Arabidopsis thaliana: one gene and its partner. The protein of the gene in region 1 binds, or shares a complex with, the protein of each later gene. Each region holds a gene or a part of one and is shown in the gene's direction. Other genes may lie near its edges.

Region 1 (6,017 bases):
AAACTGCGAAGAATTAGCTCCGGAGAAGGCCGGCCCTGAATTTGGGCAAATTTGGGCTTGATTAGGCTACAAATAGTATGTTCAAACTCGAACTGAAAACATTAATTAGACTCTATTAAAAAATGACTATGGTTAAGCTGCCAACTCATTGCTCCACATGAAATTGAGAAATGTAACATGGAGATCGATCTTTATATAATATTTAGTGATAATTAAAAGAAGCAATCTTTGGATTATTCTTCGAAGAATATGACAGATTACAATTCCAACAGCAATGTTTAATTTATATGGCAGAACATGCCAATATGGACTTCAATGTTGCTATTCGTTGGGAAATGGATATTGGCATGTGGTACAATTATTTAATCATGCTTGTTTCTATGCCTAATTTTATCAAATAAGAATGTTAATTTGGCCTTGAGTCATTTGTCAGGGAGATTTTAGTGCCGACGGGTTCAAAAGACAATATGTTTATTGCAAAGTTGTTATAGCAAGGTTCGGAAAAGTCATTTATAAATTCGCTAAAAGTTGCGTTTGATTAAATTATGCTTATTTTGTTTAATCTTAGAGGATAACAACTATTGGACTCCTAGTGAAAGTGAAACATATGATAACTAATTTATTTTAGTTATTTTGACTAATCATTTGTTTGTAACTGTTAAACTTGGAAATTATTCAGCAAAAAAACATTTCTTGTATTTGCAAAGTCACAGAATATGATGAATAGGTTTTATTATAATAGAATAAATCACGAGTTCACACAATTCTTTAAAGAATTACAGAAATCGTAAAATGATTATGCCAAATCTGATTTCACGTCTAACATATTTGGTTGGTTGATAAGAATAAAATCATACTTTAGGTTACCCCCTCATCGTCAGCATTGACGTTTATAATTTCAATATTCTCATAAACAAATACCTCGAAAGCGACCACGTTTTATCGCCTAGTATTGACGAACAAGCTAACTAAACCACTCCCACATGTTACATGTAATGACATTATATATACAGACACATAGACACAGCAAGTTTACAGGGACGCGAATCGTAAACAAGACGTAAAAAACAATGCAGGATTTTTCTTCAACGGTGTCGTATAGCCCAAGCTTCAGTTACTACGCTTCCGGTGAATTCGCCGCCGCTGCAGTTAAAGTTTCCCGCGAAAACGAAAGCTACAATATCAGAGATCATGAGTCCGTTAAAGTCAACTCCGTCAATGACGAAGACGTTGACTTCGAGTTTGAAACGTCGCCGTTACATGAAGAAACCTTCGTCCACTTCCCGACGTTCAAAACCAACGTCGTTTCCACTACTAACAAGACAGACAAAGAAGCCGCCGCTGAAAAAATATCGGAGCGTTTCCCCGGAAATTGTCTGTGGAGTCCACTCAGATCTCCGGCTGCTTCGAAACACTCAGAATCATCTACTAGCACACCGAAACGGTGCCGTTTGAAGAAATTTCTAACGAGAAGTCATAGCGACGGTGGTGTTTTGCCCTCAAGTGCATCAAAACGGTGCTATACTTTTAAGGATCTTAAGCGGAGGAGCCACAGCGACGGCGGCGGCGACACCAGTAAGAGGAGCTCGCCGACCGTGAAAGTTAAGAACAAAACGGTGTCGTATAAGGTCGGGGAAGGTGACAAGAGAAGAAAATCTTATTTGCCTTACCGGCAAGATTTGATCGGAGTTTTCGCCGTGATTAGAGGGTTACGTCGTTAATTGAAGCTCAATTAATTTGTATAGTTTTACACAACTGGACAAAAAATTACTATAATAGCAATTAGGTACTTGTTTAAATATTGTATTTATAAATATTTCCATGTAACTTTTGTTTCGTGTATTGAAGTCCAATTCAATGCGTTGACTCAAAGGAACGTTTGATATTTTTTTTTTCCATTTTTTTTTTCTCACTGAGAGGAAAAGACACGTGTCATGTGTTGATAAAAAGGAAATTAGATACTTCCACGAGAAAGCGGGACCTACGTGAAGACACGTGGACCACTAATTTCTTTCTTACCTTCCTCTGCCGCCTCGTTTTCTGCTCACAGTTCCAACTTCTTCCATACACACACATTCTCGGAAAAATCTCTATTGGATCGGTTTAATGGCGTTTCTTCAACAAATCTCCGGTTTAGGAGCTCTCGAACGATCTTGTCCGTCAATTATGATCGGATCTTCATTCCGGAGCGGTAATGGCCGTGTATTCGACGGAAGAGGAATTGCGTACTTGGGTTCGAGGGAAAAGTTCGGATTCAACAGACGAAGAAGAGTCGTTCTTAGAGTTGTTGCGATGTCGTCTTCTTCTACTCCGTTCAAAATGAATTTGAATGAGTATATGGTCACTCTCGAGAAGCCCCTCGGGATTCGCTTCGCACTTTCAGCAGATGGCAAGATCTTCGTCCACGCCATCAAAAAAGGGGTATTCTCCGATCCTTAGAATGTCATGTGGAAGTAGTAGTAATCTCAGGAGTTTTGAAAAGTTATTAACTTTTTTGTTTGTTTGTAGAGCAATGCGGAGAAGGCGAGAATCATCATGGTAGGAGATACACTCAAGAAGGCTAGTGATTCTTCTGGTGGTACTCTTGTGGAAATCAAGGATTTTGGTGATACCAAGTAAGAATTGTACAGTACTAGGCTTCTATATAACTTGTTAATGTTGTTAACTAAACATTGCTGGTGACTAGTTAACATGGGAAGATTTAGCATGGAAACACTTTGCATATCAGTGTTTTTGAAATTTTCTTTTTTATTTCTTCCAGTTTTTGATTTATTCAGGAAGATGCTGGTAGAGAAAACTGGATCCTTTAGCCTTGTTCTTGAAAGACCATTCTCTCCCTTTCCCATTCAGTATCTGCTTCATTTGAGCGACCTTGATTTGCTCTATAACAGAGGGCGTGTGTCTTTTGTTACTTGGAACAAAAACCTCTTATCATCGAATCTCAGAGCATCATCACAAGGCAGTGGTAACTCTGGCTATGCTGCGTTTTCCTCCAAATTCTTTACTCCTCAGGGATGGAAACTTTTGAATAGACAGAGCAATTCCTTTCAGTCAGGGACTAAGAAGAACATTCTTTCTCCACCTATCAGTCCACTGGTCTCTGTCTTTTCAGAAGATGTTCCTGGAGATGGGGAATGGGGTTATGGGAATTTCCCTTTAGAGGAATACATCAAAGCCCTTGACCGTTCTAAAGGAGAGCTTTCTTATAACCATGCTCTTGGAATGCGCTACAGTAAGGTCTGAAATTTGTCTCTTTTTCCCGATTACTCTTGTTTCATGATTCTCTCTGTCTCTTCAATCTCTCAAACACCATTCTTCTCTTGTTGCCTTTTTTCAGATTACAGAGCAAATATATGTTGGCTCTTGCATACAAACAGAAGAGGATGTGGAAAACTTGTCGGAAGCTGTGAGTCTTTTATATGACTTATATTACCTACCTATGGTATGCAAATGATAGAATTGAAAGTATGGTTTTAACTGGCCATACTTTTCTTTCTACAGGGAATTACTGCCATACTAAATTTCCAAGGTGGAACTGAAGCTCAAAACTGGGGGATCGATTCACAAAGTATCAATGATGCATGCCAGAAATCTGAAGTCTTAATGATCAACTACCCTATAAAGTATGCAAAGTCATATCGCCTTGAGGCACATTATGTGCGTTCATGCTTTCATTTCCTACCGCTCTAATCAGTTTTGATATTTTGGTGCCAGGGATGCAGATTCCTTTGATCTTAGGAAGAAGCTACCACTTTGTGTTGGGCTCTTACTACGGTTACTGAAAAAGAACCATCGTGTCTTTGTAACTTGTACCACTGGTTTTGACCGGTCATCCGCTTGTGTGATTGCTTATCTGCACTGGATGACTGATACCTCTCTTCATGCTGCTTATAGTTTCGTTACTGGATTGCACGCTTGCAAACCTGACAGGTTTTTATCCATCTTATCTCTGTCTTGACCATTAACCTGCAGACCATGGATAGCTTTTCTGTTTTAATGAAAACATCAGACAAGTTATATGTATTTTTTCACAGACCTGCAATTGCTTGGGCAACATGGGATCTTATCGCTATGGTGGACGATGGCAAACATGATGGGACTCCAACACACTCTGTAACCTTTGTGTGGAATGGACATGAGGTGACTGTTGCTTCACATGCTTTTATTACTTTGCTGCAATTCTTTATGGAACTCGTGATCTGTAGGGTTGAGCAACTAGCCTCTGTGTTTTAAGTTACACCTTGGTTTACAGGGGGAGGAGGTATTGTTGGTTGGGGATTTCACAGGAAATTGGAAAGAACCGATAAAAGCAACGCACAAAGGCGGTCCACGTTTTGAAACTGAAGTTAGACTTACACAGGGAAAGTAAGTCATGCTTCTTTTACCTTTCCCGTTGATGCTTTTTTTAAGGTTCAACAGTAAAACGTCTCATAATCTTCCCTGCATGTTAATTGTGACTTTTGAGGGATTGCAAACTGCAAAGAAACTTATGAAAATGCATTTGTGTCATATAACTTGGTGATTATTGACAATGTGGCAGATACTACTACAAGTACATAATCAACGGTGATTGGAGGCATTCAGCAACTTCACCAACGGAAAGAGATGACCGAGGAAACACGAACAATATAATTGTAGTTGGTGATGTTGCTAACGTCAGGCCTACAATTCAACAACCAAGAAAGGTTACTCCTACTATGCAGTAGTCTCTTCTTCATACAATAGGAAAAGCTTGAATAAGATGTTCCACGTTATATTTGCCTGATTGGTTCAAGACATAAACCTGAAGCAACTTGTACAATGTTTTGCAGGATGCAAATATCATAAAGGTGATCGAGAGAGTGTTAACAGAGAGCGAAAGATTTAGGCTGGCGAAAGCAGCTCGGTGTATCGCATTCTCAGTTTGTCCAATAAGACTATGCCCAAAGTCGTAGAAGTTTTGTTTTGGCATAAGTTAAAATGTTACATCCATTCTTCTGTCTCTATCCATTCCTCGAGGTACTTAACCCTAATATCGTTGTGAACAACATTGCCACATTCGCGCACTCTATGACAAGAGAATGTTGACATTATGTTGTGTGTTTGCATGAAAAAATGTCGACATAGTTTCGCCGTTGCCCACTTTACATATAAGTCCCAAAACCAACCCTAATGCGTTACTGGTCTCTGTATTTCTTCTTCATTTTCTCTCTCTCTCTCGCTCTCTCCTAACATGTTGAAGAAAATAGAAACTCTGTTATCTAATGTTGCCTATATGATGATTTATGGCCATGGAAGGTCTGAGAGGAGAGACCCTTCTTCTCTATTTTTTTTATTTCCTCTTCATTTTCATGCTAAGAGTTTTCACTGAGTCTGTTGTTTCGTAGAGTAGAACAGTCCATGATCGATGTTAATCCTTTGCATCTTCTAGATTGTGTATACAATAGCAATCTCTGGTCTAGAGAGAGCCTAGAGAAGTATGGATCTTTCTATATGTATACCACAAACAAATGGCCTAACATCTAAAGTGGGTGGTGATTATTTAAGATGAGAGCCTGAGAGGGTAAGTGAAAGAGGCTGATCCTTGTTTTCATGATAAGGGACCTTATCCTCTAAACCTTTCTGAGACCTTTTATTTTTTTATAAAAAAAAGAATTGAAAGAAGAAAAGAGCACGTAAAAGTTTTGAAATCTTGAGCTAATATTCCTCATCCACAAGAAAAGAAGAAAGTTTGTTATTCACCGCAGCTATCGCTTTCGTTATCCTCGTTCCCACAACCTCACCATGACCATGAGACTCCGTTCTTTTAAACTCCCAAATCTTTCAACCAATCCCATTATTCACTTAAGTATATAGTAGCTTCCATAAGAGTCTTAGTTCTAACTATAAATACACATATCTCACTCTCTCTGATCTCCGCTTCTCTTCGCCAACAAATGTCGACCGCTCCTCTCTCCGGCTTCTTTCTCACTTCACTTTCTCCTTCTCAATCTTCTCTCCAGAAACTCTCTCTTCGTACTTCTTCCACCGTCGCTTGC
Region 2 (5,965 bases), 8.4 Mb from region 1:
CGGGGAAAGAAATCGAGCTCTTTCACGCGCCTGAGAAAAATGAGAACAAATAGATGAACAAAGCAGCACAAAAATCAATGAAAGAAAGAGACGAAAGAGAAGTAGAAAACCTGCGAATCTCTTGGAGATCGAGAGATCCGTCGTGGGTTTCTTCTTCCATTGAAGAAAGCTTTAGTCTTGGGGATTCATTTTGGCGCTACTGTTAGAGAACTGAAGAGAGTGTAGTTGTGAAGTTGAAAGCAGAGAAGACGATTTCAATTTTCAAATGGGAAAGGTGAAAGAGAAACGGAAGAGAAACATAACTCTCCCCGAGGTTTATACTTTTCTTCAACATTAACCCCTGAATTCTATTTGAATCAATTTGACCCAGAGGGTTGAAGTTAATTGCAATTCCGGTTCAATTTATTATGACCAATCGTAACGTATTGAACCAGAAGACTCTTTAATTTTAATCTGTAACGTTTACTTCCCCTTTTAAAAAAAAAGAAAAAAAAAACTTAATTAAATTTAATCAAAATCATAATTATATATCAGTGAGTATGTTCCCTCAGCTCCCAAATTCGACCCTCTAGTAGCCACATCTGCTTTATTTTATTTTATCTTTCAGTAAATCTGCCCCCATTAAAATGTCCAATAAAAAATCTTCCTTACTTCAGGGTAGAGATTTTGATATTTACATATAGTTATTCTTATTGTACCGATTGTATCGAATATTTATATACTTGGATATATCTTTGTACATCAAATGGAGTCAATAATAATATCAAGAACGGTGAAGAAACTGCCAGCTAGAGGGATGAGATTGATTGATGCAGTTATCAAAGTGGATTGCAACAACTCTTTCATGTGAATGTGATCTTAATATCATGTCACACAAATACATAATCTGTTTCTACTAATTGCGTTTTGTGTAAAAGATTAATAATACTTCACATCTTAATTACTCTTTAAACGAATCATTGATCTTTCATGAAAGGAAAAGAAGGTTCTAGTCTTTGTCAGAAATCCATAATCCAATCTTGTAAAAGGCAAACAGTTTTTGTCCTAAAAGATTTGACGAGCAACGAATCGGTTCATTCCCAGCCGTTGGATTGATTTAAATACTCAGGAAAAGTCATCCCAAAAAGGTGGGAACTTGCCACTCCACATCACCATGGCACGTGGTAAGCTTACAGAGGAAAACTTCAATATTGGTTTACTTTCTCCACCACTCAACATTTTGTTTGTTCGTGCATGTTGTTTTGTGTCCGTGTATTATCTATTAATCTATGTTAGACATTTTTTTCTTCTTTTTTCGTCAAGGATATTCCTTTTTATGTTTAAAGTATTGTGTACATATATAAAAAAATATTGCATATTAGATTATTGACTTGAATCGAAGGATTTTTAAAAAAAAAAAAACTGTTTGTAGAGAAGAAAAATCGAAAACTACTTGTATTCATCAGAATTAAAAAAAAAAAGTCAGTCTAAAAATATACCCTAATAAACTGACATACCTATTTCAACGATACAATTCTATAATGAGTTATTAAATTGATTTGATTTCGTATTCTCTAAAATATACTCATAGACATAGCAGAAACTAGTTAATTTGCTTATATGTTCATATTCTTGTACATCATGTGATCTCACGTGGAATAAAAATAATGTGACCATCTCTAATTCTCTACTTCACTTAGTATCTAAGTATCCACTGTGATACCTTGTTTTCTGCTCAAAGTTGTACATGCGTAGATTAATAAATACATTTCACCCCTTCAATTGATCCCAAAAGCCTCTACAAGACAGCCAAAACAAATCAAGGATTGCGCAAAGCATTCAAGTTTCGAAACAATAATTTTTTTAATGGTTGACAAAAAGCAATAATTTGTAAAGCGATTCATAGGTCAGCTTCTAAATGTTCTCGAAATAACTCGAACCAACACCTAAACCATTTGTTCTAACGATAATAGACGAACGTATTAGAGACTCGTTAGGAAAACACTACTTGTATATATTCACTTTTACATACATATTTGTTTCCTTCATATATTTATTTATTTACATAACAAACCAATATGAAAAACGTACGTTTCATGAAAGAGAACGTTGTAGAACACTATCACCGTTTGCTTGTAAGAAAAAGGCTTATCTCACCTATAAACTCGTGAGTCATATTTATACTCTTAACAATAATAAATAAAATAAAACTCTATTTTGGTAACCACAAAAAATATTCTGAGGCTAAAAGCGCGTCTGCTGGAAAGTTCACGCGCTCTGCTAACCCCACCGTCCATTCTGACTCTTTTAGATCTTAACCGTGTCTTTATCCACATCATACGTTTATACACGTGTCACACGATCACCTATTCTATAAAAAACATTATTTTAATCTTATCCTTTTTATGCTTCCCCTATAAATTATCTTCTCTTCCTCCTTCTCCGATCTCTCCTCCGTCACACAAAACTTCCGATTTCAAAAAAACAATTTGAAATTTGTCAAAAGGAATATTCTGACGATCGATTCTTGATTCGTTTTCTCGCGTATAGAGAGAAAAATGGCGCTTAATTTATCGCATCAGCTAGGAGTACTCGCCGGAACTCCGATCAAATCCGGTGAAATGACAGATTCATCGTTGTTATCAATTTCACCACCATCGGCGAGAATGATGACACCTAAAGCAATGAATCGAAACTACAAGGCTCACGGAACAGATCCATCACCGCCGATGAGTCCAATTTTAGGTGCGACACGTGCGGATCTGTCGGTGGCGTGTAAAGCTTTCGCGGTGGAGAATGGAATCGGGACCATTGAAGAACAGAGAACGTATAGAGAAGGAGGGATTGGTGGAAAGAAAGAAGGAGGAGGAGGTGTTCCTGTGTTTGTGATGATGCCGCTTGATAGTGTTACCATGGGGAACACGGTGAATCGAAGAAAGGCGATGAAAGCGAGTTTGCAAGCGTTGAAGAGTGCTGGTGTTGAAGGGATTATGATTGATGTGTGGTGGGGTTTGGTTGAGAAGGAATCTCCTGGAACTTATAATTGGGGAGGTTATAATGAATTGCTTGAGCTGGCTAAGAAGCTTGGTCTTAAGGTTCAAGCTGTTATGTCGTTTCATCAGTGTGGTGGCAACGTTGGTGACTCTGTCACGTACGTGATTCTTCTCTCTTGCTCAATCACTTATTAATTCGTGTATCATTTTTAAGGCTACTTGAGATTGGAAAGATTAGAAGTAGGATTTGAGATTATGACCAATTTTGGAACTGAATGATTGAAGTTTGAGTAGGCAGGATTGTTCATTTTTTTAATTGATTGATGGAGTAACGTGTACGGGAATTGATGATACAATATTCAAGAAGAAAGTGATAGGTTTAAGAGTGTACGAGTTACATCTATTTCTTTGTTGCGTGAGAGTCTTAAATTTAATATTGAGCGACTTGTTGTTCGTCTTTTTCTCTGTTGTTTTCTCCTTACGAAACTCTTAACTTTGAGGCCTTTATGTCTCTTTCAAGATTGATTACAAAAGATGGATTCTGTATAAAGACGTTTCTTTTAGATTGACTAATGAGTTATTTGTTTGTTTTGAATATAGAGTTACTTCATATAGGAGTGAAGATGTCATTGTCTTATCATTCACTAATGAGATTTTGTATGTTCTAATATGGAATTTTTTTTATTTTTTTCCAGTATTCCTCTGCCTCAGTGGGTTGTTGAAGAGGTTGACAAGGATCCAGACCTTGCATACACTGATCAGTGGGGAAGAAGGAACCATGAGTATATATCACTTGGCGCTGATACACTCCCTGTTCTCAAAGGTAGAACACCTGTGCAATGCTATGCGGATTTCATGCGTGCTTTTAGAGACAACTTCAAGCATCTTCTTGGAGAGACCATTGTGGTATGTTTTAGCTTCTCTTATCCATTTCGTGTTTCATTTTAGAACATGCCTCTTTAACTCTCTCAATTTCTCTACTATGTTTGGTTGGAAGTCTGAGTTTGCCTTGAATTCATTTTTTAACAGGAAATCCAAGTGGGAATGGGACCTGCAGGAGAGCTGCGTTACCCTTCGTACCCCGAGCAAGAAGGGACATGGAAGTTCCCAGGGATTGGAGCCTTCCAGTGCTATGATAAGGTATTTACCACAAATCACACATGAATAGTCTCTGATTCATCTTGCAACGAATGTCATACTAAACTGTTTTCCTTGCTATGATTGATGCAGTACTCGTTAAGCAGCTTGAAAGCAGCAGCTGAGACTTATGGGAAGCCAGAGTGGGGCAGTACTGGCCCAACCGATGCTGGTCACTACAATAACTGGCCAGAAGACACCCAGTTCTTCAAAAAAGAAGGTGGTGGTTGGAACTCAGAGTATGGAGATTTCTTCCTCTCATGGTACTCCCAGATGCTGTTGGATCACGGCGAGCGGATCCTATCCTCAGCCAAATCAATATTCGAAAACATGGGTGTCAAAATATCGGTCAAAATCGCTGGAATCCACTGGCACTACGGGACCCGCTCTCACGCGCCTGAGCTCACAGCAGGGTACTACAACACAAGGTTCAGAGACGGGTACCTCCCGATCGCCCAAATGTTAGCCAGACACAATGCCATATTCAACTTCACATGTATCGAGATGAGGGATCACGAACAGCCTCAAGACGCACTTTGTGCACCAGAGAAGCTAGTTAACCAAGTTGCTCTAGCCACTCTAGCCGCAGAAGTTCCTCTAGCTGGTGAAAACGCATTGCCTAGGTACGACGACTATGCACACGAGCAGATTCTCAAGGCCTCCGCGCTGAACCTTGATCAAAACAATGAGGGAGAACCTCGAGAGATGTGTGCATTTACTTACCTAAGGATGAATCCGGAGTTGTTTCAGGCGGATAACTGGGGAAAATTCGTAGCGTTTGTGAAGAAAATGGGTGAAGGGAGAGACTCACATAGATGTCGGGAAGAAGTTGAGCGTGAGGCTGAGCATTTTGTGCACGTTACTCAGCCGCTGGTTCAAGAAGCTGCAGTGGCTCTCACTCACTAGAGAGATAGATTGTGGCATGGTTCTATGGTTTATGTTTGTATGCGATTATAATGAAATGGTTATATGACAATGCCAAAAAAGATGTTTAGGCTTGTTGGAGCTTGTGTATGTATTGTTAGTAAAACTGAAATGTATGCCACAGCTCTGGTTTTTTTCCGGTCAGGTTGTGGCATGCTACTACTTTTAATATATGCTAAAAGATGTACATGTTCTTTAATGAAGCCAAAATAAATAGCATTTCTTTAATACATATCACTCTGAATCAATAAAATGATAGATAAATTATGTGTGTGATTGGTTTGTCTGTAACTGTAGATTTTTTACTGTAAAATTTTTGCTGTATGTGTGATGGTGGTAGCTGTAGATTTTATTGCTGTAGAAATTAGGCTGTAGGTTTTATTAATTTAATATTATTATTTGAAGAAATTGGTTGTAGAAATAAGATTATGGTTGTATGTATTTTTAAACAAAATAATATTATTGGTAAATTGTACTTATGTGTTATATAATAGAATTCACAAATATCAATTTAATATATATATATATATATATACATTTTTGCAGTCATTTTGTGAAATAAATCATGAAGTTGGAATTTATTTATAATGGTTGCCATTGGCTTTTAATTATTGTTTTTTTTTTGGCAATAAATTGATTAACAAACGAAAAACATTCCAAATATATTTCAATCCCATATATCATGCAGATTTCTCCAAAATTTGAACTAGATTTTGACAACTATTTAAAACAAAAAATGTTTGACAAACCAAAATACAATTGCAATTCCTTAAAATGAGCAAAACGCACCTAAATACATTTTTTACAATTCACTAAATCTTATTTCTCCAAAATTTGAACTAGATTTCGGCAACTATTTTAAAAAAAATTTGTTTGACAAACTAAAATACAATTGCAATCCCGTAAAATATTTATTTAAATTATATATTTAA

What was found.
Region 2: the proteins of LSF1 (region 1) and BAM1 are in contact, whole or in part, in a cryo-EM structure (PDB 8J5D), measured with the Arabidopsis thaliana proteins. Residues at the interface, in NP_566139.1 of Arabidopsis thaliana: Met72 (codon at 2,320), Asn73 (codon at 2,323), Leu74 (codon at 2,326), Glu76 (codon at 2,332), Tyr77 (codon at 2,335), Met78 (codon at 2,338), Val79 (codon at 2,341), Arg112 (codon at 2,527), Ile113 (codon at 2,530), Met115 (codon at 2,536), Lys122 (codon at 2,557), Leu131 (codon at 2,584), Arg157 (codon at 2,824), Phe266 (codon at 3,151), Pro267 (codon at 3,154), Glu270 (codon at 3,163), Tyr271 (codon at 3,166), Ala274 (codon at 3,175), Leu275 (codon at 3,178), Arg277 (codon at 3,184), Ser278 (codon at 3,187), Gly280 (codon at 3,193); in NP_189034.1 of Arabidopsis thaliana: Glu208 (codon at 3,696), Asp212 (codon at 3,708), Thr235 (codon at 3,777), Leu236 (codon at 3,780), Pro237 (codon at 3,783), Val238 (codon at 3,786), Lys240 (codon at 3,792), Gly241 (codon at 3,795), Arg242 (codon at 3,798), Thr243 (codon at 3,801), Gln246 (codon at 3,810), Asp250 (codon at 3,822), Arg253 (codon at 3,831), Tyr306 (codon at 4,203), Ser309 (codon at 4,212), Ser310 (codon at 4,215), Lys312 (codon at 4,221), Ala313 (codon at 4,224), Glu316 (codon at 4,233), Thr317 (codon at 4,236), Tyr318 (codon at 4,239), Trp362 (codon at 4,371), Gln365 (codon at 4,380), Met366 (codon at 4,383), Asp369 (codon at 4,392).

The regions. Positions count from the first base shown.
Region 1 is NC_003074.8:197,772-203,788, reverse strand, and holds LSF1 (uncharacterized protein), read left to right. Parts: upstream 1-2,046; 5' UTR 2,047-2,106; coding exon 2,107-2,421; intron 2,422-2,477; exon of another isoform or gene 2,478-2,508; coding exon 2,509-2,615; intron 2,616-2,761; exon of another isoform or gene 2,762-2,777; coding exon 2,778-3,237; intron 3,238-3,337; coding exon 3,338-3,406; intron 3,407-3,501; coding exon 3,502-3,623; intron 3,624-3,714; coding exon 3,715-3,930; intron 3,931-4,034; coding exon 4,035-4,140; intron 4,141-4,252; coding exon 4,253-4,365; intron 4,366-4,540; coding exon 4,541-4,685; intron 4,686-4,811; coding exon 4,812-4,934; 3' UTR 4,935-5,467; downstream 5,468-6,017. Other genes in the region: AT3G01513 (uncharacterized protein), read left to right, coding at 1,071-1,721; CA1 (carbonic anhydrase 1), read left to right, coding at 5,916-6,017. UniProt on the Arabidopsis thaliana protein: Starch granule-associated phosphoglucan phosphatase involved in the control of starch accumulation. Participates in the regulation of the initial steps of starch degradation at the granule surface.
Region 2 is NC_003074.8:8,639,185-8,645,149, forward strand, and holds BAM1 (beta-amylase 1), read left to right. Parts: upstream 1-1,996; 5' UTR 1,997-2,537; coding exon 2,538-3,130; intron 3,131-3,667; coding exon 3,668-3,878; intron 3,879-4,001; coding exon 4,002-4,112; intron 4,113-4,202; coding exon 4,203-5,015; 3' UTR 5,016-5,265; downstream 5,266-5,965. Other genes in the region: AT3G23910 (reverse transcriptase-like protein), read right to left, coding at 1-30, 111-160. UniProt on the Arabidopsis thaliana protein: Beta-amylase activity. Can use p-nitrophenyl maltopentaoside (PNPG5) as substrate only in reduced form. Can play a minor role in the starch degradation and maltose metabolism in chloroplasts during the night. More active on phosphorylated glucan.